Linked DNA regions of Arabidopsis thaliana. The protein of the gene in region 1 binds, or shares a complex with, the protein of each later gene. Each region holds a gene or a part of one and is shown in the gene's direction. Other genes may lie near its edges. The genes, in order: AT4G37280 and AT3G24880.

The links.
Region 2: AT4G37280 (region 1) and AT3G24880 share a complex: the UniProt entries of both Arabidopsis thaliana proteins name them as parts of the nuA4 histone acetyltransferase complex.

Annotation. Positions count from the first base shown.
Region 1 is NC_003075.7:17,543,515-17,555,564, reverse strand, and holds AT4G37280 (MRG family protein), read left to right. Parts: upstream 1-6,005; 5' UTR 6,006-6,202; coding exon 6,203-6,343; intron 6,344-6,935; coding exon 6,936-6,989; intron 6,990-7,098; coding exon 7,099-7,112; intron 7,113-7,202; coding exon 7,203-7,348; intron 7,349-7,451; coding exon 7,452-7,487; intron 7,488-7,622; coding exon 7,623-7,663; intron 7,664-7,845; coding exon 7,846-7,947; intron 7,948-8,123; coding exon 8,124-8,203; intron 8,204-8,294; coding exon 8,295-8,464; intron 8,465-8,546; coding exon 8,547-8,631; intron 8,632-8,723; coding exon 8,724-8,817; 3' UTR 8,818-8,988; downstream 8,989-12,050. Other genes in the region: MEE59 (maternal effect embryo arrest 59), read right to left, coding at 67-264, 356-457, 539-760; AT4G37295 (uncharacterized protein), read right to left, coding at 1,677-1,937; AT4G37290 (uncharacterized protein), read left to right, coding at 5,382-5,636; HMA1 (heavy metal atpase 1), read left to right, coding at 9,213-9,713, 9,813-9,963, 10,060-10,244, 10,375-10,521, 10,610-10,805, 10,965-11,077, 11,440-11,678. UniProt on the Arabidopsis thaliana protein: Chromatin remodeling factor. Acts as a 'reader' protein by binding to H3K36me3 and H3K36me3 to control histone H4 acetylation. Increases the transcriptional levels of the flowering time genes FLC and FT.
Region 2 is NC_003074.8:9,086,137-9,103,461, reverse strand, and holds AT3G24880 (Helicase/SANT-associated, DNA binding protein), read left to right. Parts: upstream 1-7,924; coding exon 7,925-8,064; intron 8,065-8,172; coding exon 8,173-8,227; intron 8,228-8,320; coding exon 8,321-8,418; intron 8,419-8,494; coding exon 8,495-9,857; intron 9,858-9,965; coding exon 9,966-10,085; intron 10,086-10,293; coding exon 10,294-10,497; intron 10,498-10,845; coding exon 10,846-11,034; intron 11,035-11,130; coding exon 11,131-11,211; intron 11,212-11,327; coding exon 11,328-11,385; intron 11,386-11,459; coding exon 11,460-11,977; intron 11,978-12,077; coding exon 12,078-12,131; intron 12,132-12,459; coding exon 12,460-12,505; intron 12,506-12,726; coding exon 12,727-12,923; intron 12,924-13,001; coding exon 13,002-13,055; intron 13,056-13,139; coding exon 13,140-13,220; intron 13,221-13,425; coding exon 13,426-13,563; intron 13,564-13,649; coding exon 13,650-13,766; intron 13,767-14,007; coding exon 14,008-14,074; intron 14,075-14,163; coding exon 14,164-14,240; intron 14,241-14,337; coding exon 14,338-14,438; and 8 more. Other genes in the region: RLP39 (receptor like protein 39), read left to right, coding at 1,532-4,279; VAMP728 (vesicle-associated membrane protein 728), read right to left, coding at 4,706-4,846, 4,919-4,996, 5,128-5,283. UniProt on the Arabidopsis thaliana protein: Component of the NuA4 histone acetyltransferase complex which is involved in transcriptional activation of selected genes principally by acetylation of nucleosomal histone H4 and H2A.

The DNA of each region.
Region 1 (12,050 bases):
TATTGCCATAATATCAAGAAACAGAACATCTGAAACAAGAAGATAAAACATTTTCGAAAGATCAGTTCAAGAACTCTCGCTCCGGTTTGGTTTAGACGAAGATTCCGAATCAAAATCTTCCTCCGTCGCAGGAATCCATTCGTTCGTCGCCGGATTGCTTCTGTAAACCGCTTTTTCTCCTCCGTCTCCGATTGCGGCGGCGGTTACGGCCTCGGATTCTTCACCGTTGTCTTCCTTCACCACATTTATAAACCCACTTCCGGTCTAATCTCAGAAACAGAGCACGTTAAAACAAAATTAGATTTCTTCTGATGAAATTTTATAAGCAAGAGTGAGAAAGAGAGGGAATTGGAACCGTGTGATGTTGCTTATCAATGGCGGTGAGATTTGAGTAATACTCTGTTTCCAGGAACTCATCTTGAACTGCAGATGAATCTCCCTCACCTAGAACTTTACCCTGAAAAACCAAAATCTCAAATTTAACGAAAGATGTTGGTTTATGTGAAGAGAAAAGAGCGAGTTTTAGAGATAACCGAACATGAGTTTGTGACTGGAGAGATTGGAATTTGTCAGCTTCAGGATGGTCGGTGATTTTGTCGGAAGCAGAGAAAGATCCAGGAAATCCCGGTTCGCTTCGAGTGGGTTTAGTGGGTCGTTTGGGAGCCAAGGAATCGAAATCAGCTCTGATCTGGTTCGCGTTCTTGATCTGCTGTTCCGGGTCGGATATTTCGTCGCTCCGGCTTGGCTTCATCGTACTCATCGTCGTCTCTGTCCACTGCTTTACAACACACACATGCAAAAAGAGAAAGGATTTGCTCACTGGTTTTTAGTTGTGTTTAAAAGAAAATGTATATGGGCTTTTAGTGGGCCTTTTTAGTCCTTTAATTTTCTCATTACAAATTTCATAACGTGAAACTGCAATATACTCACTAAACATGGTATAAAACTATAAATACTCGACATTATTACCAAAAAAAACAACTTTTATCTTCTTCATTTAAAAAAAGATTGTCGAAATTGGGTCCACTCAAAACATAGTGTGCATGAAGATTGAAGCTTTTCCATTTCCGGCTCCTATGGAAAGACAATAAATTATTTTTGAAATGTCCTTTTAATTCCCCAAAGGCCAACATTTCGAACAAATAAGAAAAGAATTAAAAGGTACAGCTGAAAAAACGTTTGCATCTCATCGAAATTCGATTTGCGACCACGTTTGATTATAATTTGCGACCACTTTTAATTCCAATTATGTGGTAAAACATGAACTAATCAATGTCTTCTTTATAATTAATCATGTGGTATCAACCTTACCAAAAAGGAAAAGAGATAATCATGTGGCTGTATATCATTTAAGTTGCACCAGAATGGCCGATAACATATCTCCTCAATCTATATTATTGACTCATATACAATTTGCATGGTTGATGGCTTAACGTAGATCTCAAAATTGAAATTTGTTAAACTAAAATAAATATCGATTAATGGGCACGTACTATAAATTGGTGTTTATGAGAAGGAAACCGACTATTGTATGATCAAAGAATATCACCCTTCTAAACTTTACATGGATCTTTAGCGACTGAATAAATATAATAATCTATAAAAAATGAAAAATATGATTCTATGACCTGAGCTAAACAAATATCGAAGTATAATGTTTTGTTTGGGTTCGTATTTTAGTGACCAGCACCTCTCCTGCTCGGTCCTGAAGCCATTGTATGCATCCTCTCCCCGGCCGATGAGAGCCACCTTAGCTTCTTATAACCATGTATCACGACCCCTAATAAGTCTTCACTTCGTAAATCGACCCCATGAATTTTAGATTGATCGATTTCCTCCGTCGAACCACCAAGGAGAACTCTGCAATCCGCGGTTCTTGATTCCGAAAAGGCCGAGACCAAGAACATGACCGTAAAGATCAAGCCAACCGGTCTCATTTTTTGGTGTGGTTGTTCGGTTCTTGAGGTTTAGGGTTTAAGACAATGAATGTGTTTTGGTGATTGATAGAAAAGGAGTAACAAAGGAGGAAGTAAAGCTTTATATACAAGTGTCAAAAGATTCAAAGGTAGATGAAAAAGGATGGAGAGGAAGGAAGATAGGAGTTTTCATTAGAATTAAAGTAATATAAAAAAAAAAACTAAAAAAATTGTTAGGGAATATAAAATGGAATAAGGTGTAGAATTAGACCCTCGATACAAGGGGATGGTGCAGGCGAATTAGTAAAAAAGGACGGTCTCTAGCTTCCTTGGAAATGGACCTTTCGAAAAGTGTTAATTGTTTTTTTTGACTAGCTAAATGTTTTTCTTAATAGCTTTAAATCTAAAGTATTATAGTTTGATTGAGAATATATATATGTATTTTGTTTTTGTTTTTACTGCTTAAAATATGAATACAAAATTCTGGCACACTATTAAATTATGGGATTTGTTTATGGCTTAAGATACACAATATTCCAATGAATCAATCTTCCAAATGACAATTCAAGTTGTAGTTGGTAATTTAAAAATCCTGACTTTTTGTTAGTGGAGTTAGGCAGGACTATATATACCAATATTTTCGGTATATGGTTTCATGATCAAAAACATTTATACCGACAAGGAGTTTAGTAATCACCACGTAAACTTTGCAATTGCCAAATGAGCCAAATGAAAGTACTAGACTACAAGTCTACAACTATTTGATTTCATATTTCTATCATTTGAAGTTTTATGTCAAACTAATATTGTAGAATTTTTTTTGAGCGGAGGCTTTCTTATTACAATGACTTAAGTTGATTACTTGATTTAACTCTACGGTCGTGGATCATCGACTCGGTTTTAACCTTTAGAAACTGGAAGAGTACTGATGAAGGTAGGGCACGAATGCGTAGAAGTGACGTAGGAGGAGGTAAGAGAAATAAAGTACGTATTTGTTTCTCACACTTTCGCGAATAATTTGATCGGAATAAATTTGACCATACGAATCCTCGAGACTTGTTCTGCATAGTGCATAGGAGAACGTTTTCATTGTATTGATCGATTTTTTTTTTTCTTTTTCTAATTAAGTTTTGAAGATTTGTGAATGGTAAGAACTAATGCATGATTTTTAGTACTGTGCAAAGAAATAAATAAGAAACACAAAGATCAAACAATGAGTCCTAAGAAGTGGAATTTTTAAACCAAAATCATACTAAATCATAACTCAACGATAATTAATAAATGAAAACTCTAGAATTTTTCAAAAAACGAACAAAACATAATTGTCATGTTGGTTCGTGGGCATGAGAAAAAGAAGGGAGATAACATAGACAGACAAATTCGGTGGTACTCACACAAAATACTTGTATGGACGGACGGACTCTAACTCTGCTTCATAGTTGTCATGATAACAATATTGGCATCTATCTTCTTCCTCTTTTTCCTTTTTGTTTTTAAACGTCACTTCCCCCACATGTATGATGTACCCTCAATTTTATTTCATTATCAATCTTGCATCTTCGAATCTTTTTTAAAAAAAATCGAGTTTGCAGAACTAAATCCATAATTATTTCTAATTTCGATTTTTTAATGTGAAATATTTAGTGGTCAAATATGAATATAAGTACTGTTTATGGACGAACCATGTGAACATATCATGTTTTCGATATACAAATTATGATATTGCATTGTGCAGTCACAATTTGGTTCTTTTGAGATGTTATAGTTGTATACTACCTTAATCCCTAGAGATACATATCTGCTATTTGAATGGATTAAAGATTTGCTTTTATATAGATTTAAGTAAATAATTGAAATTCTTTTGTCCAAAGATATTTGTTCAAGAATTATATTAATTTCATGTAATTGGAAGGAATACAAAAGACTGGAATCTTGATAATGAATTTATTAATGCAGAATTTGATTCCATTATTAATGGACTACCACGTCCGAACTATACATAGTTAAACATTTTTTCTTCTTGTATTATTCTGGCGTGGTCTTACGCCACTTATAAACTATATTATTTTGGCCAAACCAATATTTATAAAATCGAAATAAAACATTAAACCGGGTTTTAAGTACTTTGTTTGTATTATTCAATAATTGGTTATTAAACTAAGTTAATAATTTCAAAATAGTGATTTCACCTTAAAATATGGGAAAGAGTTTCCTGATGCTCTGGAATTTGGTTTCTTTGTCTTATACTCTAACTGCGGATAAAAAGGAGCGATTTTGCTATAAAAAGGAACAGTTTGAGATGATATTACACTTTATTCCGGTAAATTATTTGGCTACCATCAATAATATATTCTTCAAAACTATCAATCTTCCTTTTTTTTTAGAAAATAAATAAATTTCATCACAACTCTGTTTGAAAAATCGTTTATGAACTTGAGACGGAAAAATTATCATAATTCAACGTCATATAGCAGCAAGAGTTGAAATAAAAATTAATGGTTTTGTCTTTTCATAGGATAGATTTCTTATTTCTACCTAACAAAAACTAAAATTTGGATGTTGAATTTTGAGTAGTATAAAGTTTGGTTGTTCAATGTTTTTTGCAAGAAAAATCACGTGAGAAGGAACTATTTTTGGTCGTGCAAGAAAAATAACACCAAAGTGTTTGAACTTTTGAAGCATTGATGATTAGGTTTGGTGTATCTAACAATATTATAAAACAAACACATGAGATCCGACTCATAGTCAATTTAGCTTATGTCACTCCTTAAATCAGCTGGTTTAACCGAACCAGAAACCCTAACCAAATTTTTAAAAAAAATTCAAGTTATCTGATTTTAAATTTATTTTCTATATATAAAAAATTTGGCTGAAAGTTGAAACGAAACCAAAGCTAGAGATGTACATTTTCTAGTAAAGTAAAATAAAGTAAACAAATTCAATCTGAAACCAACAATATACCATAATATACTTACGAAAACCAAATCTAAACCGGCTAACGATATATGTGAGTGTGACTTTATATACGTTGCGAGTTTGAAATTCAAGCATTATTTTTGGTCTACACAACTACAAATCTACCTTAATATTTAGCTGCCGTCTGCTCCAAACAATGAAACTTCATGTTTGGTCTACGATATTAAATTCTTTATTTCTAATATTCAATTCCTTATCCTTTTCTTCATTGATGGCTTTCACTATTTTGTGTTCAATAAATACACACAAAATTGAATGCTCAAGAAACAAGTTGGTATTTTCCCAGGAAGCAGCATACTAACTAATTTCAATGATCACATTCTTTTCAATTCAAACTTAGTCAAGAATAAAAATTCAAACTTTGCATCTCCACGAACACTACTATATAGTCACATTCTCAACTCACAAAACACTCACAACAAAATTCATTATCTGCCAAAGAGAAAGAAAACCATATTTTTTATAAACAGAGTTAAATTGTTCTTAAACATGATGATGAACAAAAACGTTCTGAGTTCGATTCTGTTCTTCATGTTGATTGGTTCGGTTCTTGTCGAGAGTCGTCCGCTTGGTCTAACAAAGACCGAGGAGAAGTTCGTGGCTAGTTTATTCGATGGCTTATCACTTGGTTCGATCAAAGACTCAGGTCCAAGTCCAGGCGAGGGTCATAAGGTCGTGGACAGGAAGGATACGTTTCGATTTGTTAAGCACTCAGGTCCAAGCCCAAGCGGACCGGGCCACTAATGTTTCAATCTTTAGTTCAAACCGGGCCGGTTAAAGTGCCCATACCCATCTAGGTCGAGAAAATTATTTCATTTTTTTGTTCCAGTTTCATTAGTGGAAAATATTATACATGTCTCATGTTTCTGATCGATACATAGGAAGAAGAATGGCAAAAACAATAATTATTGTCTCATTTTTCTATATTTAGGATTATTGTTTTGTTAGTGAAATAAAGTTACTTGAAAAGTATACAAATAAAATGTATTAATCAATTTTTTTATATTTATTTGAATGTAATAATAGTTAATAAACATCAGTGTCCAAAGTGAAATATGAGTCCAACTGCTCAACGACCAATAAAGGCATAAATTTTTTTAAAAAGACAATGCTTTATAAATGGGCGACGAGTATATTTAAAAGGTTTAAGAGATTTAATCGAACTATTGTGAAAGTTAAGGGACTCAATTGAAAAACTATTCGCAACGATTCAGTCATTCAGCAGTTGTCGTAGATTCATTTATCTAGACGGTTAAAGGGGTGCCTTGTGATGTGAAGATCTTTGCCTCTCGCTCTCGCTTTCGGTGACAATGGGAAGCTCGTCGAAGGAAGAGACGGCGAGTGACGGAGATACGGCGAGCGGTGGCGCCTCACCGTCCAACGACGGCAGACTCTTCTCGGAGGGCGAGCGTGTTCTCGCTTACCATGGTCCTCGCGTCTACGGAGCCAAGGCAAATAAAAAACCTCTCTCTCTCTCTCTCTTTCTCTGTGCATCGTCAGATGTTCGCATAATTTGAATTCTAGAGATTATCTTGTTCGTGTTAATTTAGCAATTCTTGTATTTCACGTGGGTTTTGGTTGTATCCGACTACGGAATTAACTGGTTTCATTGAATTGAGATCTCTCTGCTAGATTTGGCTTAGGGGTTTCTTGGTAGATTTCGGTTTCAAGTTACGACGATCCGAAAGATGAACCCATTGAGATTGGATTCGAGTTTTCTTTTTTTGGTAATGGATTCATGTAGCATTAGAGCTTTTTAGATTGGAATGATCATAAATGCTTAGTCGTAATAGATGCAAAAGAATAATTCACTTGCCGTTGGAGCAAGGAATTCAATAAATTACTCGGAAAATAGGGCAAGCTAATCTACTTGCATGTTTATTTTTTCAATCATATATTATATAGGTCACTGGATTGAGTCTCATTCATATCAAATGTGTGTCGTTGTTATGCTAAATCTTCATAGTTTTGAAAAAAATCTGTTATTGCATAGTGTTTTCAGTGTGTGGGCAGACCTGATAGATTATTGACATTCCATTACAGGTTCAAAAGGTCGAGCTTCGGAAAAAGGAGTGGAAATACTTTGTGCACTATCTTGTGAGGCCTCCTTCTTCTGAGCTATTATAGTTTCATTATCCTGTTTCATGTACTAGCTATTTTCATTTTGGTTTGCAGTAATAAGTGATACAGCGATCTTTGTCTGCAGGGTTGGAACAAAAAGTGAGTATCTCTCTCTGCTCTCATGTCGATTCTGGTTTATGTAGCAAAATCAGTAGATTGGGACCCATGACATGATTGTCTTGCCAACAGTTGGGATGAATGGGTTAGTGCGGATAGATTGTTGAAACATACCGAGGAGAATCTTGTCAAACAGAAAGCTCTAGACAAAAAGCAAGGAGTTGAAAAAGGTACCAAGTCTGGCCGTTCCGCTCAGACAAAAACTAGAAGCTCTGCAGGTGAGTTGTTGCCTCCACATTGACCATGCTGAGAGTACATGATACATATTTTGGTCATCCAGGCTAAGAAACTAACTATTTCTTTCTGATCTTGCACTTGCAGACACAAAGGCTGATAAAGATGACACCAAGACCAATGGTAGGCAACATATTAATTTACGCTCCCTTTGTAGTTCAGGGTTCTCCCAACAATTTCCAAGGAAATGATTTGGTAGACTGGGTGCAACTTAAATTATTTAAGCTGGTGTATAGATGATTACATTTTCTGTTGCAGCTGCAAAAGGGAAGAAACGAAAGCACGAGTCAGGCAATGAGGTCAGGCTTGCAAAAACTTAGAGATGTATTTGGTTCATACCTGTTAGGTCTTTGTTAAGATTATATTTTACAGTACAATAGATGGCTGATGTGTTGTTATGCATATACACACATACGAAAAGGGTCAATTTTTCAGGTCTTCTAATATCGATAAGGTTTTTGTTTTCATTTGTAATCTATAGAAGGATAATGTAACGGCGGAGAAGCTAATGAAGATCCAAATTCCCGCATCACTTAAAAAGCAACTCACTGACGACTGGGAGTATATTGCGCAGAAGGACAAGGTATCATCAATTTTCTCTATTTTGTGCACATACTTTTAGCACTATTAGAATTGTTATTGAATCAGCTAGACTTGAAAGTTAAGAGACATAAGTGTGTATTTGTAGTCGAATGAATTGTGTATACCAAAGTGAAGGGAAATTGATGTTTGGTAATCTGTCTTCAAATGATTATATAGGTTGTGAAACTTCCTCGTTCACCTAACGTCGATGAGATATTGTCCAAGTACCTTGAATTCAAAACCAAGAAGGATGGAATGTGAGTCTTTTACTCGAACACAGAGTTTGATATATTTGAATCTTTTCCGAAATCCAACGATACAAAATTTTGTGTTTCTGTTTTTGTGCAGGGTAACTGATTCGGTCGCTGAAATATTGAAAGGCATAAGGAGTTATTTCGACAAGGCATTGCCAGTGATGCTCCTATATAAGAAAGAGAGGCGACAATACCAAGAATCAATCGTGGATGATACTTCACCTTCAACTGTTTATGGCGCCGAGCATTTGCTCCGTCTCTTTGGTAAAATCTCATTAAGTTCTTATTTGGACAGTAAAATTCGATGTTCTGAAATTTTATTTTTGCTTTTTTTAAAAATCTGCAGTCAAGTTGCCAGATCTTTTTTCATATGTAAACATGGAAGAAGAAACATGGAGTCGCATGCAACAAACATTATCAGACTTCCTCAAGTATATATCTAATCTCTCTGTTTCATCACTACCATTTTGATTTCTCGGTTTTAACGGTTAAATTCACAATTTCTGGAAAAAAATCTTTACAGGTTTATTCAGAAGAATCAGAGCACTTTCTTGCTACCATCAGCATATGATTCTGATAAGGTTTCAGATGGTAAAGGCAAAGGAAAAGACGACTGACATCTCCAGGAAAAAAATATTGTTGTAATTTAGAATTCCTTCATTTTTCTGATGAATTCATAATTGTAAGATTTGCAGCTGAATATGAAATATTTTACAGGCCTTTGAAGTTAACTATTTGGTTCATGTAAATTTCTTTAAGTGGTCAATAAAACATCCGGAACAATGGAACCTTGGTTGGTAGAAGGCAACAAAAAAAATGGAAAAAATAAAAAAGTGTATGAGATGAGATTATTTATGTGGCTAATGTCATCGGAATAATTACATTGGTTCTCCTTCTCTGTTATTATTCTTTCATCTTTTTCACCAAGACGAACGACTCTTACACGCAGAGTTCGCGAGATCAGAATCAATGGTGGCATGAAAAACGACGCTTGAGCTCAAATTCGTCGACCATGGAACCTGCAACTCTTACTCGTTCTTCCTCTCTTACTAGATTCCCTTATCGTCGTGGTTTATCCACTCTCCGACTCGCTCGAGTCAACTCGTTCTCAATTCTTCCACCTAAAACTCTTCTCCGTCAAAAACCGCTTCGTATCTCTGCTTCCCTTAATCTTCCACCACGGTCGATTCGTCTACGTGCTGTCGAAGATCACCATCACGATCATCATCACGATGACGAGCAAGATCATCACAACCACCATCATCATCACCATCAACACGGATGCTGTTCTGTGGAATTGAAAGCGGAGAGTAAGCCTCAGAAGATGTTGTTCGGATTCGCTAAAGCTATCGGATGGGTTAGATTGGCCAATTACCTCAGAGAGCATCTTCATCTTTGCTGCTCCGCCGCTGCAATGTTCCTCGCTGCCGCCGTCTGTCCTTACCTTGCTCCTGAACCTTACATTAAGTCTCTTCAGAACGCATTCATGATTGTTGGTTTTCCTCTTGTTGGAGTAAGGTTTTCTATAGCCTTCTCTATAAAGCTCCTTGCTAGTTTTATAATTTAGCCAGATGATTTAGTAATTTAGCTTTATGGTCATCGATGTTGTTAGGTTTCAGCATCTCTCGACGCACTTATGGATATAGCTGGAGGAAAAGTGAACATCCATGTCTTGATGGCACTTGCGGCTTTTGCATCTGTGTTTATGGGAAATGCTTTGGAAGGAGGATTGCTTCTAGCTATGTTCAATCTTGCTCATATTGGTTAGAACTTGACCTTAATAAGGATTAGGGATATGTCATTGTTAATGTTTATCATGACGGAGAGGTTTGAGCTTTTGTCTTGTCATTTTTCTGCAGCTGAGGAGTTCTTTACTAGTCGATCAATGGTGGATGTCAAAGAATTGAAAGAGAGTAATCCAGATTCTGCATTGTTGATCGAAGTACACAATGGCAATGTTCCAAATATATCTGATTTGTCATACAAAAGCGTTCCTGTGCACAGCGTAGAAGTTGGATCCTATGTTTTGGTTGGAACTGGTGAGGTCTGTGAAACTTTTCTATTTGCTTTCATTACTTGAATTTCTTAAACATGTGACCCTGTATGTCATTAGTTTAGTTTTAGCAGGGTTACAATTGCAGCTGTTAAGTAATGGAATTTTTTTTTCCATTTAGATTGTGCCTGTAGATTGCGAAGTCTATCAAGGTAGTGCTACAATTACAATTGAGCACTTGACTGGGGAAGTCAAGCCGTTGGAGGCAAAAGCTGGAGATAGAGTGCCTGGTGGTGCAAGAAATTTGGATGGCAGAATGATTGTAAAGGTATTTTTTATCCTATTCTCATTGCTTTGGCTTGTCTCTTTATTTGAAATCCTCATGCTTATCTCAATCCATGGAATTTCTAAATCAGGCTACAAAGGCATGGAATGATTCGACGCTTAACAAGATTGTACAGCTGACCGAGGAAGCACATTCTAATAAACCCAAACTTCAGAGATGGCTGGATGAGTTTGGCGAGAATTACAGCAAGGTTGTCGTTGTTTTGTCACTTGCAATTGCCTTCCTAGGTCCATTTTTGTTCAAGTGGCCTTTTCTCAGCACCGCAGGTAAGATGTCAGGATCAAGTTCTCCCTTCTTAACATTACCATAAATCATTGTTGATGTGACAAACTATTCTTGTTGTTTAATAAGATATATCACCATTTGGACAATTGATAAGAGTGGAAAATTGATTGGCTTACTTTCATTGCTTGTTAATGATGCAGCATGTAGAGGATCTGTTTACAGAGCATTGGGACTTATGGTGGCCGCATCACCATGTGCTCTGGCCGTAGCTCCATTGGCTTATGCTACTGCTATTAGTTCCTGTGCAAGAAAGGTATTGTTCAAGTACTCTACGTGATCACCAAGTGTATGTTAGCTTTCTTGGCGTTGTGATGTTTTGCAGAATTGCACTTTTGAGCATTGGTTTGTATATGTTCTCTTGTAGCAAATTAAGCTTTATAAGCTAAATAATCTTATGTGCATCAAATGTCAATGGTGAGGAATGAATGGTGCATATGCAACAACATCGTCTTATCTATGAAGACCACCATATTTCAACTAACTATTTGATATCATTTTCCTTTTGTCCAAATCCAGTTGAAAACATGGTTTATTTTCTTTTTCCTTTTTTTTTGCTATGTAAAGGTAGTATCTTCACGTGTAAGTGTGTAACCCCACCGTGTGTAACTATTATAGGGAATATTGCTGAAAGGTGCACAGGTTCTAGATGCTCTTGCGTCTTGCCATACTATTGCTTTTGACAAAACTGGTACCTTAACAACCGGCGGCCTTACTTGTAAAGCAATTGAACCCATTTATGGGCACCAAGGAGGAACTAATTCAAGTGTAATAACTTGCTGCATTCCAAATTGTGAAAAAGAAGCTCTTGCAGTTGCGGCTGCCATGGAGAAGGGCACCACGCATCCTATTGGAAGGTATTGCTTGTTTAGCATCAATTACTAGTATAAAACTTAATTACCACAAACTCTAAAACCATGCAAGTTGTGACCTATGTGCATCCCATCATCACATAGTTAGTACTGTGGCGCGTCTATAACTCATGGGAAATAAGTTATCTTGTTGGATGGTACATTCATTTCAGGAGATATGTTGACGTAAAGAATTTTAGTCCTACATCTAGAACTTATTCTTATTTCTAGTTCATTACCACAATCGGATGAAAGGAAGGGGAAAAAGCAAATTTGAACGCTATGAAGCTCTCTATCTCTGGTTTTTACACTGGTTTTTACACTGGTTTATTAGTTTAAATGATGCTTGGTCTGGTAAGAGATTGAGACTGAAGAGTA
Region 2 (17,325 bases), on another chromosome or scaffold:
TTATGACTCCACTTGATGAAAATCTGAAACCTTCTTCATCTTCTTCTTCAAAACTTTTCAATCGGAAAGGAAAATTTATTTTTTTAGAACTTGCTTACATCAACCCAAAACCGGACAAAAGCCGGGACATAAGCCATCCGAATCTCTCGAAGACGAATCGATGGAGACGAAGCCAGCCACCGTTGCGGAAGAAGCCAATCGATGCTGGAAGTTTGCCGGCCAACGGTGCATAACAGAGCCACCGATGCCAGAAGAAAAGTTTTGACTGCTTAATAAGCCAGTGAAACGCCCCATGAAATTGCAACAGAAGTTTTTATAAAAACTCTTGCCGACGAAATCATATCGAAAACTTTTCTTTCTCTCTGAAAAATAAAGGAGAGAGAAGAGAGAGAGAAAAGTTCTCAGTCAAAAATATACATAATATATGTCAATTATTTTTAGTTTTTGCACCCCTTTCATTTTTCTATTGTATTTTATGCATGGTTATTAAATTTTTTCAATTCTTTCCATTTTGTTAATTATATATGAATTTTCATTTTTGGTTTTCTTCCTAACTCTATATTAAATTATTTCCTAATATATAATGTTTTGACTTTTTTCCTAACTCTATATAATGCGAATTTAGATAGACATAAAAGTTTATTAAGTGTAAACTAATCTATACATTTTGGTAAATAAATATTTTAGAAATTAAAAATAATATCATCATACGATTTTATCACCAGTATTAGAAGAAAATAAAATAGAATAGGATAAAACTACATGCATGTATACATATGTGATTACTCATGTATTTTACACAAAGAGTAAAGCATTTCTAAAAATTACATATATTTTTGCTGAAAAACTATTTATATAATTCACGAAATCTACAACAATCATGAAAATATTCTTAGTTTTATTTTATTTATTTTAAAAAAACCATAGTAATACATAAAATGATTTTCTTTTTAAGATTAACGGTTTTCCCACGGTCACAATATCAGTTGGTAATTTGTAGTAGGATCTTGCCTCACCCCTATGGCCCTATTATCTGACGCTGTAACTCGCAAGTGTGCTCATGATCCTCCAATGGAGAAAATCATTCAAGTAAAAGAAAAATGAAACTATCATCTTCTTCATCATTTTCAAATCCTCTTTACCGCATATCTTCTAATCGGTTTAACGATCTTTTGTTAGCTAAAACTATCATCTTCCCCATTATCTGACCACTTTCACTTTGCCTCGTTACCATACCAACTTCGAAATTTGATACTCGACAAACAAATCAAAACAACGCCAATTCTTCTTCGTCAAAGCACGTCGGGCTACGAAATGTCTCCAATAATCAAACGTATCCAATATGTTTGTCCTTATGCTAATTTTATTTATGTGATTTTGAACATATATATGAGAACTTTCAAAGTGATGTGGTTCCAATCCAAATTATACTTAAGAAAAATTATCTAACGTGGACTTCACTTCTCCAAGCCCGAATACAAAGACGACTTCACTTACCTCTAACTTCTTCCAAGTCAATTTGTGCTCCACTATGCAAAACTACTTCCTATCTTTATTTATACCAATCTTCTCTCTCACATTTCTTATATCAAAAACCTTTCTTTCTTACAAAGCTGTTTTCATCATGTCTGAATTGCTTTTCCGTTTGAATTTTCTCTTGCTACTCTTACTCTCTTGTGTCTCCTTGGCTTCAAGCTTCTTCTCTTTTAATGACCCGGTTGTTGGTCTTGGTGCTTGTGGTCCCCACCAGATTCAAGCCTTTACGCAGTTCAAAAACGAGTTTGATACTCATGCTTGCAACCATAGTGACTCCTTGAATGGGGTGTGGTGCGATAACTCCACGGGCGCGGTCATGAAGCTACGACTCAGGGCCTGTCTCAGTGGAACTCTAAAATCTAACAGTAGCCTCTTCCAGTTTCATCAGCTTCGTCACCTTTATCTCTCTTACAACAACTTCACCCCCTCTTCAATCCCTTCCGAGTTTGGAATGCTCAACAAATTAGAGGTTTTGTTTATGTCTACTGGTGGCTTCCTAGGCCAAGTTCCTTCCTCTTTTAGTAACCTAAGCATGCTTTCCGCTTTACTCCTCCACCATAACGAGCTCACTGGTAGTTTATCGTTTGTGCGGAATTTACGCAAGCTCACAATTTTAGATGTTTCTCATAATCACTTTTCTGGAACTCTTAATCCCAACAGTAGCCTCTTTGAGTTGCACAACCTCGCTTACCTTGATCTCGGTTCTAACAACTTCACCTCCTCTTCACTCCCTTATGAATTTGGTAATCTCAACAAACTAGAGTTATTGGATGTTAGCTCTAATAGCTTCTTCGGTCAAGTTCCCCCCACAATTAGTAACCTCACCCAGTTAACCGAGTTGTACCTTCCCTTGAACGACTTCACTGGTAGTCTTCCGCTTGTACAAAATCTAACCAAGCTCTCCATTCTACATCTTTCTGATAATCACTTCTCTGGAACCATCCCTTCTTCTCTCTTCACTATGCCTTTCTTATCCTATCTTGATTTAGGTGGAAACAATCTCAGTGGTTCTATTGAAGTTCCTAACTCCTCTTTGTCGTCAAGGCTAGAGAATTTGAACCTAGGTGAAAACCATTTTGAAGGAAAAATCATAGAGCCTATCTCAAAGCTTATCAACCTCAAAGAGCTCCACCTTTCTTTCCTAAACACAAGCTACCCAATTAATTTGAAACTCTTCTCCTCTCTCAAATATTTGTTGCTCCTCGATCTTTCCGGTGGTTGGATATCTCAGGCTAGTTTAAGTTTGGATTCATACATTCCATCGACCTTGGAAGCATTACTCTTGAAACACTGCAACATCAGTGTTTTCCCAAACATCTTAAAGACCCTTCCGAATTTGGAGTTTATTGCCTTATCAACCAATAAAATCAGTGGGAAAATCCCAGAGTGGTTATGGAGCCTTCCTCGTCTGAGCTCAGTTTTCATTGAAGAAAATTTGTTTACTGGCTTCGAAGGTTCATCAGAAATTTTAGTAAATTCATCTGTACGGATCTTAAATTTGCTGTCAAACAATTTAGAAGGAGCACTTCCACATCTACCGCTCTCTGTCAACTACTTCTCTGCAAGAAACAATAGATACGGAGGCGACATACCTCTTTCAATCTGCAGTAGAAGGTCACTTGTTTTCCTTGATCTAAGCTACAACAACTTCACCGGTCCAATTCCTCCATGTCCAAGTAACTTCTTGATTTTGAATCTCCGGAAGAACAACTTGGAAGGAAGTATTCCAGACACTTATTATGCCGATGCACCTCTACGGTCACTCGACGTTGGCTACAATCGATTAACAGGAAAGCTTCCAAGGTCTCTTCTAAATTGCTCAGCTCTACAGTTTCTAAGTGTGGACCACAACGGAATCAAAGATACATTTCCTTTCTCCCTTAAGGCTTTACCGAAATTGCAAGTCCTTATTCTCCATTCAAACAACTTCTATGGTCCTCTATCTCCTCCTAATCAAGGCTCTCTGGGTTTTCCTGAGCTGCGGATACTTGAGATAGCTGGTAATAAATTCACTGGTAGCTTGCCCCCAGATTTTTTTGAGAATTGGAAAGCATCATCACTCACGATGAATGAAGATCAAGGTCTATATATGGTATATAACAAGGTTGTTTACGGGACCTATTACTTCACCTCTCTGGAAGCTATAGATTTACAATATAAAGGTCTGTCTATGGAGCAAAATAGGGTCCTTAGTTCCTCAGCGACCATTGATTTTTCTGGAAATAGACTTGAAGGAGAAATTCCTGAATCTATTGGTCTCTTAAAGGCACTGATCGCACTCAACTTATCGAACAACGCCTTCACAGGCCATATTCCTCTGTCTTTGGCCAATCTTAAGAAGATCGAGTCACTAGACCTATCAAGTAACCAACTCTCAGGGACAATTCCTAATGGAATAGGGACTCTCTCGTTTTTGGCATACATGAACGTGTCTCACAACCAACTCAACGGTGAAATACCACAAGGAACACAGATAACTGGGCAACCTAAATCGTCATTTGAAGGAAATGCAGGGCTTTGTGGTTTGCCTCTTCAAGAAAGTTGCTTTGGGACTAACGCACCACCAGCACAACATCCTAAAGAAGAAGAAGAAGAGGAAGAAGAAGAGGAACAAGTGTTGAATTGGAAAGGCGTGGGAATAGGGTATGGGGTTGGTGTGTTACTTGGATTGGCAATAGCACAACTCATTGCTTCATACAAACCGGAGTGGCTAGTTTTTCTGTTTCAGAGCAGAAACCATTAAGATCTTTTGGTTATGAATTTGATCGTTTATGTCAAGTTGTTGTTGCCTGTTGGTATTGTATTGAAGTATTTCCTAACGTTTGTTGTATCTTTATCTGATGTTTTTGTTTCTATAAAGTAAGAATGGTGAATTCTCATTAGATGTTGTTTCTTTTCCTAATAAAAAGAGTAGCAGAACTCAAAATTGGGTTTTAGATTACAAGAAACCATATCATCACAAAGACCTAATCTAGATATTTGCAAATCCCAGCAGCTTAACATATTCATACCCTAAAGGATCATAAATCAGTACTAAGTCATCATATTTCATTATCCCTAACAAAATTTATGAAAAAGAGATCGCAAAAACAGAATGAAGAAAGAAGGGCATATACCTCGGGTACAGTTTCCCATCAATTTAGTAGAGCAATGTGGGCATTATAATTCGTCAACGTAATCTTCTTCTTCTTTCAGTTATTAAGACAAACCTAGACGAAGATGTACCAAGGACTATGAGCTTAAACTTCATGTTCTGAAACCACATCTTTCTTGTAATTTTCGTTCCTGGCGTTATGATATCTTCTTGACCCTGTAGATATCAGAACTGGAAATATAAGAGCGTGACAACTAGAAAGGAGATATATTGTATCAAAAAGCTCACATATGAGGGAAAAGGTAAGTTACTATACTTTGAACGAAGGTCCACTAGAATTTTAATTTTCTCACTGCGGTCAAGAGCCTGCAAGTTAATGAATTACATAAACCTCAGTCAGTTTCGCATAAGTGGGAAAAAACAGAGAAAATTCAAGTCATATATTCTCAAATGAATGATATAAAATTATGAGATTGACATGGATATATGATTCAGACCTTCTCAATGTTCTCCATCATAACACCTTTCATTTTGGTCACTAGAGCCTTAACCTTGGCAAGTTTGCTAATCTCCTCGGGATGAGCCAAAAGTACCAAAACTCTTTGTTCAAGCTGTTGGGTTAAGTAGTTGTAGCCATTCCTATCCACCACCATATCTCTTGTTGAAATCCTCTTAAACTCGCTCCAAGAATGCCATTGGAATCTGCCGAAACAACGCAATAGGCTGCACAAAAAGAAAAGAATCTATTGTCATGTCCATGGAAAAATATGAGAGAATTATAAACAAAGGACACTAAATACGAAAAAGAAACTGTATAGTATTGCTCATATATCACCTAAGTTCAAATACAAGAGGCAAAGCAAGCTAAAGACATAACTACATTCAACAGTTTCACTTCCGTTTAAGCAAAGACTCAAGTCAATTACAATTGCCTTCTAAATTCTCACAAACAAGCCAATAATACATAAGCTGAATGGAATCAGAACACCAAGAAACATATATCATGATAAATCCAAACGAGAGATACATCAATAAGTAAAATAAGAAAAGTCTCATCAATCAATGGAAACCTTAACAGAAGAAGAACCAAGTCATAAATATACAAATGAATGAGCAAATGAGCAAAGAGATCCAGTGAAATCAATTGCAACACGAACACGAATATACATCTAAGTCTACCACATAGATCGAAACTAGGCTTTCAAGAGGGCGAAATCGAAACTCATATATACGAAAAACCAGGAAAAAAGAGAACATGTTCGGTTTGAGAAGGGAGAAGGGAGACTCACTGAAGCCATTTTCGACATTTGTTGTAGGAAAATTGGTATCGGAGAAGGAAGCTTCTTCTGGCAACACTGTGCAGTGACGGCAGTAAAATTCCCTTTTTGCAGAAGGCAAAAAAAATTACTTCTTTTTTTCCAACTCGAAATTTTTACTTTGGCTGTAAATAGTAAAATTGTTTTTGAGGAATTTAAAATGGTTACATCATTTACATGTTGAGGTATACTTGAGGAATTTGTGAGGAATTGTTCATGTTTAAGAGTTTTATTTTTGTTTTTAAGTTGTTTCATAAATTAATAAAATTATTATTCTTAGAACTAAACAACGCAATAGGCTGCACAAAAAGAAAAGAATCTATTGTCATGTCCATGGAAAATATGAGAGAAGACTTCCACTAGAAGTTGTTAGTAAGGAAAATTCTAAACAGAAAAAAATAGTTTAAATTTTATTTTAAAAGTAAAAATTAGTAGTTTATTTTATTAGTTTATGCGTTTATATAATATTTCTATTTGATAAAAAATAAGATTAAATGTATTACATTCTTAATATTTTGTAATTTGTAACTTTTTACAAATTAAGTTACTATCTTATGTTTAATAAAATTATTAAATTATAGAAAATTTCAAGTTTAATATTTTTTCATATGTTTTATTTGGTATTAGTCTCTTAGATTTCTAAACCCGAACCCAAAAAACCCGGACTCGATCCGAATTGCCTATGGACAACGTGGGACAAATATAGTTTTACAAAACCAGCGACATGCCTGAGATTTGTAGAGATCCATGTCACACAACATGAAACTGTTATAACTTTATTACTACAAAAAGGCCCGAAACAAGACCAAGCAAACAAAAAGAAAGGCCTTGTTTGGTCAAAATCTCAGGCCCAGAATTCGGAGAGAGAGAGAGAGAGTCGCATACTGCGTCGAGGAGAGAGAGAGAGAGAGAAAGAACGAAAAAAAAACATCAACGAGAACTCAATTTTTTTTTTTATCTCCCGAGAGGGAAACCAAAATTGAAAACGAAAAATAGCTGAATTAGGAATCAATCTCGCAACAAGCAAGCAATTTCCATGGATTCCTTGTTTTGGGAGGAGCTTCTTCTCTTCTACTCTCTGAGAAATTGATTCTCGTCTTTCGATTTGAAAGAAAAGCTTATAAGAATTTGGAAGCCCTAGGAGAGAGAAACTAATTTTAGAATTTGGTGATTTTGCCCGAGTTTTGTGCCCTAGCTTTTTGCCTTCGTTCTGTTCTGTTCTACGTTCAATTTCCAGGTTTAACTCTCTTCTCCTTCACTCTTCTATTCAAACCCTAGAGTCCAGCTTTGCTGGAGCTTCTGTGATTTTGAACCCAGTGCTTCTTTTATCAGGAATGTGAATTGTTTGCTGAAATTGTGTCTCTGTAGTTCTTTGTTTCTACTCGTTTAGCTTGGAAATGCTCAATACTTGATTCAAGAGTTCGTAGGCACGCCATTAAGTAGCTTAAGCTGATCATTTTCTAACTTTGGTTCCTAGTAATCGTTGTTAGTGTTGGATTAAGCTTCTAGAACCTCTCTGCCTTGAGGCAACATTTCATTTCTTTGGTATCTTAGAGTTCTATTCTATCTCTGTTATGCTGGAATACGTAGTTGTGAGCTTCTCGGGGATCAGAATGGTATTGGCGTTAGATATATAGAATTCTCAGTCAAATACTAGATTCTGGGGAGTTATCTTCACTTTGATGTTCCTTTGGATAGTGGCTAGAGTATATGAGTGAATGTTGTTTTACTTTTGACATCTTCTGAGCAGTTACATCTTGAATCTGATAAGCTACTCTATTATATGATATCATATGGTACTGCTTTTTGCATCATGAGAACATACATTTTACCAGTGTTATTTGTAGGTCCAACATTTAGGTGTAACTGATTCTAACTTCTGCAGTATGATCATTCGGAATGCTGTAAATACTGAAAGCTCTTGATATAATTTTTCAGTTAAGCTAGAATTCGAATTGATGGGGTATTCGACGTGGTGATGCATGGAAGCGTTTCAGGATATCTTCTAGTAAATGCTGAGGTTGATTCCATGGGAGGAGTTATCGATAGTGGAGGTGGTATTGGTGTTAAAACATCTCCGCGCCGAACAGCTATTGAGAAGGCTCAAGCGGAGCTAAGGTATTTCAGATTGAGACATCTTGATCTTCTGCAGTGTGTTTAAATGCTCTATAATTTCTACAGCTTTCTATTATTTCCAATGTGTAACAAAGATGCTTATTTCAACAGGCAAGAGTATGATGTTCGTGAGGAAAGGAGGAGAGAATTGGAGTTTCTAGAGAAAGTATGAATACCTATTTCCCTGTTCTATAATTGTTTTGTGTGTGTGTGTGTAAGAACTTATGATGACAAGCCTTTACTCTTCTATCTGCTTCAGGGCGGTAATCCCTTGGATTTCAAGTTTGGTATTGCAACTTCACATAGCGTCCAATCTACATCACTCACAGATCAGCAAGCAGAGCATTTTGTAAACAGGTACATTCGTGTTTGGTGTAGTTCCCACATTAATTTCATGGAATAACTCATCATTATTTGCCCATAACCCCCACAGTGAAGTCAAAGATAGTTTTGCCCTGACTGCCTCACCACATGGTGACTCGGTGGAGAGTAGCGGTAGACCTGGAGTTCCTACAATTTCTGAACCCAATACAGCAGATAATCTTTTACTGTTTGATTCTGAAAACAAGTCAGTTGAAGGGGAAAGAAATTTGAGACATCCTAATAGGCAAAACAGAACTTCTGAGTCAGAACGATCTTCCAAAGCACACACCAACCAGAATACCAAAGAAACAGAAGATTCTGCCATCTTTCGCCCGTATGCTCGGAGGAACAGATCGAAGATAAGTCGGGATCCAGCACGGTCAAGCTCTACGGATTTAGTTCAGAATCGTGGTGGTCTTGCAACGTCTATATCTATTCGCAGAGGATCAGTGGAAGGAAAGGGTTGCATTCCCGAAGCAGCCAATCAAAAGGATATGCATACAACTTCTGTATCTTGTCCAGTATTTGCAAATTCAAATGGTAATATCGTTCCGAAAAATAGAGTTTCCAGCAATTCGCTGAATACTAAGGTGGATGGTGAACCTGTTGTACGAGAGAGTACTGCTGGATCCAAGACTAGTCTATTGAAAGATGAAGCCGACATTTCGTATAGTAAAAGCTCTGCATATTTGCCAGTTGGAGAGTCTGGCCTTGCTGGGGAGAAGGCACAACTAGTTTCGACTGGTGGTTCTCCCAAAGCTGCAACAATAGCTGGCCAGAAAAATAGTTCTACCCAACTGAATGGCCTAAGAGATTCCACGGTAGAGGAAGAAAGCTTAACAAATAGAGGAGCTACAGGGACTAATGGGTTAGAGTCAGAGTCTTCTCATGCGAACAACGTAGAAGTAAATGTAGATAATGAAAGAGATCTTTATAAAGTGGACAAACTTGACTCTGATGAAATCTCTATGCAGAAGACTTTGAGAGTAGAGGGGTTACTAGATCAAACAGTTGGTGAAATGACCAAAACTAAGATTGAAGATGAGACAGGTCAATCTACCACCATTATCAGTGAGTGCATTCCTGAATGTGAAATGCAGATGAAATCGGTTAAAATTGAAAATCAAAGTCACAGAAGTACAGCTGAGATGCAAACTAAGGAGAAAAGTTCCGAGACTGAGAAAAGGCTTCAAGATGGGTTGGTTGTACTCGAAAATGACAGTAAAGTTGGTAGTATTTTATCTGAAAATCCTAGCAGCACGTTGTGCTCTGGAATTCCTCAGGCATCTGTAGACACAAGTTCTTGCACAGTTGGCAATAGTTTATTGTCAGGAACTGACATTGAAGCATTAAAACATCAGCCGAGCTCAGATGCAGTTATGTTAGATACTGTCAAGGAGGACGCTATTCTTGAGGAGGCCCGGATTATACAGGTTTTCTTTTTAATCTTGACTTGATGATTTTTAGCTATCTAGTTTTCGTAGAAGTTATGATGTTATGTACCTACTCATCTTTTTATGTATGACATAATACATTAACAGGCAAAGAAAAAAAGAATTGCCGAATTATCTTGTGGTACTGCACCAGTGGAGGTCCGTGAGAAATCTCAATGGGATTTTGTCCTCGAAGAAATGGCATGGCTGGCAAATGATTTTGCGCAGGTCTGGTCTAGTTAAATTATCTTTCTAACATAAATTCTATATATCTGCATGGAAAATGCTGCATTTTGTGGATTTTTGTTCTGTTTATTTACTACGGCGTCTGGTCATTCGTCTTCTTAAATGAGCTTGTCCACTTTTATGTTACTGGAACATTTTTCCGTGACTGTTCTAATTGCATTCTGTTACCTTTTTTCTTTTCATCTTCTAGGAGCGCCTTTGGAAAATGACTGCTGCCGCACAAATTTGCCATCGAGTTGCTTTGACTTGTCAGTTGAGATTTGAGGAACGAAATCAGCACAGAAAGCTGAAAAAAATAGCTTCAGTCCTATCTAATGCTATCTTACAATTCTGGAGTTCTGTGGAGGCCGAGGTTCCTGGGGAGCTGGAGGAGACGAGCTTGGGAATTGTTAAGGTATTTGACTGTCTGACCTCTTTTATGGTTTTTGATGACAATGATGATCATATGGTTCTTTCCTTTTCTTTTAAATTAGAATTATGCATATATATATACATTCGTTGAATTAAAGTATTGACAACACTGACATTCTGAGAAACCATATTATTATGTTTGTGACTAGACTGCAAAACAACACAATTCTACTGATATTTCCTTCTTATGATTGAGAAGCCTGATCTTTCTTATTTGCTTGAATTGTCTTTGATAATTACCTACAGGAGTCTCTGGTTCTGTCGCTCCTTATGTTATGATTTTTGTAAAATTTAATGGTATCATACTAAATAATACCTTGGTTGTATGCAGGAGACTTGCCAAGAATCTAATTGTTTGAATGGCAGAAGATGTTTAGCTGCGGGTGTCAAGGAATATGCAAGTAGATTTTTGAAGTACAACAACTCTTCCATCTCCTATCATTCAGCTGCACCGTCAACACCTGACAATATGTGCGACCCAGAAATATTGGATATATCTATGGTTGATCAGCTTACAGAAGTATGAATTTCTGAAAAGATTTTCCGCAGCCTCAGTTGAACACTATTGTTGTGGATAGTTCTACATTATTGCTAATTGAGCTTTATTACTGTGCAGGCAAGCCTCTTTTATTCAGTTCCATCTGGTGCAATGGAGGTGTACCTTAAGTCCATTGAGTCGCATCTTACACGTTGTGAGGTATGTGAGATTGTTCTATGCTAGGAGCTCGCATATTGTAACCTTGATGGCGTATATTTTCCTGAGAATATATATCTGTTCTCCAAAGATATTTAACAGTATTTCTCTGTTCCCAGAAGTCTGGAAGTAGCATGCAGGAGGAGGTTGATACATCAGCCTATGATACTGCTGGAGGTATGCACAATTCTGGGTTGTTTGAGCTTCGCGGGTTGGTTAAATTTTTGCTAATTTTTTATCTCTAATTGTAGATATAGGATATAATGTTACTGCGTTCGATGAGGATGAAGGAGAAACAAGTACCTATTATCTTCCGGGAGCTTTCGAGTCTAGCAGATCATTTAATATAAGCCACAAAAAAAGGAAGAATCTGATGAAGTCTCATTCTGCCCGGTCATATGATCTTGGGGACGATTTACCATACGTCAACAACACAGGTGGCTCTAACTCATCAAGTTTGATGGCAAAAAGGCCTGACAGTAATATTAATGCCGGCTCAGTTCCAACAAGGCGAGTGCGCACTGCTTCCAGGCAGAGGGTTGTGAGTCCTTTTGGGTGTGCTACTACTGGGAATTTACCAGTGCCCTCGAAGACAGATGCGTCTAGTGGGGATACTAGTTCTTTCCAGGATGAGTATAGTAGTTTGCATGGTGGATCGGCAGTCCAAAAAGGCACAGAGGTTGAGTCAAGTGTTAACTTTGAAAAGCTGTTACCTTATGACATGGCTGAAACCTCAGGAAGACCTAAAAAGAAAAAGAAGACTCATCAGGTAGTTAGAAATATCAGCATATCTCTTACTATTTGCAGAAAATAGTTGCTATTAGTTTTAGTTGACATTGGATTGCAATTTTCAATTTCATTTGTTGCAGGGCTCCGCATATGACCAAACTTGGCATCTCGATCCGTCAGTCCATGTTGAACAGGTGAATTCATGATAAAATCCTAAGAATCAATTTGAACAAATGTTTAGGGAAAGGCGAGTTTAGGTGGTGTGAATTAATCAATATTATTGCTTGACTAGCTTGATAAAATAATTTTTGCCTCTTGCTTAACTGGTTTGATGCTTGAGTCCTACTCTTTGGATTAAAAACAAAGTTATATTTTGTTTCCATTTTAATCTTGAGGAGGTGACTATTAAACAGTTTCCTATTATTTGAAATGAGAACTTTAAGTTATATAGTTGGTAAATGTTTACCATTTAGTAGTAATTGACTTCTTAGAAAGGATTCTAATTCATCCTTATTTGGGCAGAAGGACCACTGGAAGAAGCGACCAGAGAATAATTTCGATATGAATGGTATTATTTGCAAATTCATTTTTTACTTTGTGGTGCATTGTAGTTCTTCAGCGGCTGGGGGATCCTCAGCCTCTGCCTGTATAAATTAAACAATACTCCTAGAGGATATCATGTTTTAAGCAGCATTTTTACGTACATCTTATCATTAACCACCAATTATACAACTTAAGCAATGATAATCGTTTATAATTCTGTGACATATTTTAATTATTTTTTGTAAGGTCTGTATGGTCCTCATAGTGCAAAGAAGCAAAAGACCACCAAGCAATTGGTAGAGAATAATTTTGATATGGCTATTCCTCACACTGGATCGATTCCTTCTCCGGCTGCTTCCCAGATGAGCAATATGTCCAACCCCAACAAATCTATCAAATTTATTGGAGGTCGTGATAGGGGCAGAAAAATAAAAGGCCTGAAGGTATGCTCTTGAAGGTTTACTAACTCCATTCACTTTGTTTAAAATATCTGTTTTAAACTAGAATTTTGTTTTTCTCAGATTTCTCCTGGTCAGCATGGTTCTGGAAATCCATGGTCACTATTTGAGGATCAGGTTTTTTATTCGTCATCTTTCATTAACATCGATGTACTGTTGGTTGCTTTATGAGTATCTAATTTATCTTTTTCTACCATATAGGCGCTTGTTGTCCTGGTGCATGATATGGGCCCTAACTGGGAGCTCATTAGTGATGCAATGAACAGCACTCTTAAAATTAAGGTAAGTGCCTGTTGTTTTGAAAAATCTTGGGATTCTTTCTTTGGTACCTTTCGAACTGAGTGGCAGAGCTATAATTCAATAGTTTTTTTTTTTCTATTCTAGTGAATGGTTGTGTTGGATATTGTTGTCCAGGTTATTGCTTTCTCGTATCAGTGAACAACTGGTATTTGTTACTGGCTGATTGATTTTTCCACTGTTTCTCCAGTGTATATATCGCAATCCGACTGAGTGCAAGGACCGGCATAAGATTCTGATGGATAAAACTGCTGGTGATGGGGCTGATAGTGCAGAAGATTCAGGGAATTCTCAGTCTTATCCATCCACTTTGCCTGGCATCCCAAAGGTTTTTCTATAGCTCTGAGATGGTGAACAAAGTGTCTTCTATGCTTAAACTAATTTAAATGCCCCGGATATGTCTGTGATATTCAGGGAAGTGCGAGACAGTTGTTTCAACGACTGCAAGGGCCAATGGAGGAAGATACCCTGAAGTCTCATTTTGAGAAGATTTGTTTGATTGGGAAGAAATTACATTATAGAAAGACACAGGTTAGTTCACCTACTACTTTGTTACTGTTTCCAAGCTTGTAACCTAAAACTAGTGGATTTCTTTCTGCATTTTTTGGCTAGTCATAATTCAACTGTTGCCTGGAAATAGGGATAGTTCGTTGTGTATGTACTGTGTAGTATACTAGCATCAAGGAGATGATATGTTGGGTGATGGTAGTCCAAATTTTAGTTTTTGAGTCCCTTGTGGGCAGAATGCTAAATGGTTCTTATAGTGCCAGAGAGTGTTATCGGGGTTTCTGTGGTTTCTTTTGTTCACGGAATTCAGTTTTCAAGTTGCACTGGAGCTGGTAAATGTTTTTGCTTATAGATATGGAATTTGAGAAGATAGGTTTGCTTAATTCAGTTTTTAATTTGCATAAAGTTTATGGTATGAAAGGCATATCTCAATCACTCGACATACCAGGTCTGCATGTTTCTAAGTATAGCTGCAAATCTTGGCTAGGATTTCCTGAAGTCACATTGTAGTTTGAAGTATGAATCTACTAAGGCCCTAAATCTGTTTTCTTGTTGCTGCTTGTGTATTCTTGTGACTGTTTCATCTATCTTCAAGAATGATGGTCGGGATTCCAAGCAAATAGTACCAGTTCACAATTCACAAGTCATGGCTCTCTCTCAAGTATTCCCGAATAATCTGAATGGAGGTGTTCTTACGTAAGTTCTGTTGTTTCCTTGTATTCACATACATCTTGACTTCTACTCTTGCAAATTCTAATATTTTGCTACTCTCCGGATGAAGGCCCCTTGATGTCTGTGACGCATCAACTTCAGGTCAAGATGTATTTTCACTTGAAAATCCAGGTCTTCCAATGTTGAATCAGGGAACGCCAGTGCTCCCTACTTCTGGAGCACATCCATCCACTCCTGGATCATCTGGTGTTGTTCTGAGCAACAATTTGCCAACCACATCTGGCCTACAGAGTGCTTCTGTCAGGTAGAGCTTTTACTGAATGATTTGTTTTGGTGAATGCACACGTCTGTGAATCTCCGCTCAATTTACTTGAGGGTTATTACTTCTTTTGATTGTTGATATATTTTTTTCTTTGTAGGGATGGTAGATTCAATGTTCCTAGAGGGTCTTTGCCACTTGATGAACAACACCGACTACAACAATTTAATCAAACGTTATCTGGTAGAAACCTGCAGCAGCCCTCCTTATCAACTCCTGCAGCTGTCTCAGGATCTGATCGTGGACATCGCATGGTTCCTGGTGGAAATGCTATGGGTGTAAGTGGAATGAACAGGAACACACCCATGTCAAGGCCTGGTTTTCAAGGGATGGCCTCATCAGCAATGCCAAATACTGGTAGTATGCTTTCCTCTGGCATGGTAGAAATTCCAAACACTGGAAATATTCATTCCGGAGGAGGAGCTTCTCAAGGAAACTCCATGATCAGGCCTCGTGAAGCTGTGCAGCATATGATGCGGGTAAGCTACTTGGATTTTGTTTACTGCTACGCTAATTATTACACTTCGTTTTACGATTTCTCACATGTGGGAACTTAACTATCTATTTCTTACTTCACAACCTGGACTTATTTATCTCGCTCTTTGTTTTAGTTTGTAGACGTTCAGCGCTTCTAATTTTTGTCAACCGCTGGTCGATTGTCATTTTGAAACTCGTTGACAACATTACGACCTCTACAGTGGTGATAAAAACTGATATTCATGAGTTTCAGATGCAGGCTGCTCAAGGGAACAGTCCGGGGATCCCAGCTTTCAGTAATTTGAGTTCTGGATTTACCAACCAGACAACTCCTGTTCAGGCGTACCCAGGCCATCTTTCCCAGCAGCATCAGATGTCACCGCAGTCACATGTGCTTGGCAACTCGCATCATCCTCATCTCCAGAGCCCAAGTCAAGCCACTGGGGCACAGCAAGAAGCATTTGCTATCCGTCAAAGACAAATTCACCAGAGGTATTTGCAGCAACAGCAACAGCAACAGCAGTTTCCAGCATCTGGTTCTATGATGCCACATGTACAACAACCTCAGGGCTCTTCTGTTTCTTCTTCTCCACAAAACAGTCCTCAGACTCAACCACCTGTTTCGCCCCAGCCATTATCCATGCCCCCGGTGTCGCCCTCTCCTAATATTAATGCTATGGCACAACAGAAACCTCAAAAATCTCAGTTGGCGCTTCATGGTTTGGGTAGGAGTCCTCAGTCTGGTACTTCTGGAGTGAACAATCAAGCTGGAAAACAAAGGCAGCGACAACTTCAGCAGTCTGCAAGACAGCATCCACACCAGCGGCAGCCAACACAAGGTCAACAGCTGAATAAACAACTGAAGGGGATGGGTAGAGGCAACATGATCCATCAGAACATCACTGTTGATCAGTCACACCTGAATGGCCTTACCATGCCCCAAGGAAACCAGGCTACTGAAAAAGGAGAGATAGCGGTTCCAGTTAGGCCTGATCAGCAGTCTAGTGTGGGGACTACCACGAGCACGAATCTGCAGTCTAAACCATTTGTTTCTCCCTTGTCTTCAAATCATTCACAGCAACTGCCAAAATCATTCCCTGGTGCTTTGCCTCCATCCCCTCAACAACAGATGCAATTACATTCAGACAATAGCATCCAAGGCCAGAGCTCACCTGCGACCCCATGTAATATTTTATCCACCTCTAGCCCGTCAATTGCACCAGCGGTTGCACCTTCTAACCATCAGCATTTGTTGATACACCAAAAGCAGCGCAATCAAGTGCAATCAACAGCTCAGCGAGTTGTTCAACATAATCATCTAGGGAACTCTGAGTTATCAAAGAAGTCCCAAGCTGAACGCATGCCACGTGTTCCACAGTCTGTAACCAATACTACCCAAACTGTTAGTATGGGTACGACCAAGGGTATGCCTCAAGCGAGTAATGATTTGAAAAACATAAAAGCAGTTGGTTCTACTGCGGTGCCTGCTTTGGAACCTCCATCTTGTGTTGCTTCTGTGCAAATCACTGCTTCGAAAGTAGTAAACAGTTCCAATACAGATTCAGCAGGAAATGATCCAGTATCAACACCGAACCAAGGACTAGCTCAAAAGCACGGGATCAAGGGCGTTACACAGAGACAACAACAGTCTCTACCTTCAGAAGAAAAGAGACCGAAATTGCCAGAGAAGCCGACTGTACAAAATCAGAAACACCTTGCTTCTGAGGAGCAGCCTCATTTAGAAGAAGCACAAGAATTATCATCTTCCAAGCCTCCTGATACAAAAGTGGAATGAGAGGCATGACAGATGAACCTAGAACCTTGAGTAGCTGTAGATCCTGCAAAGCTTAACGCTGGCCCTTACCGACAACAACCCTGTACAGGAACCCAAACTGGTTTGTGTCCTCCACCTTCAGAGTCGGGTCTCTTTTTGGCATTAACATCTTGAAGCTGCTGGTGGTCTTTGGATTTGGCTGAGAGTATAACATAACAAACTCTACAGATTGTGGAGTTTGCAGATTTGGTAAGGCCAGAGGGAGATCAATAGGGAAGAAGTTGGTGGATAGGATAAAATTCATGCAGGTCTTTTTGCCTCTTTTGATGAACACAAAGAGA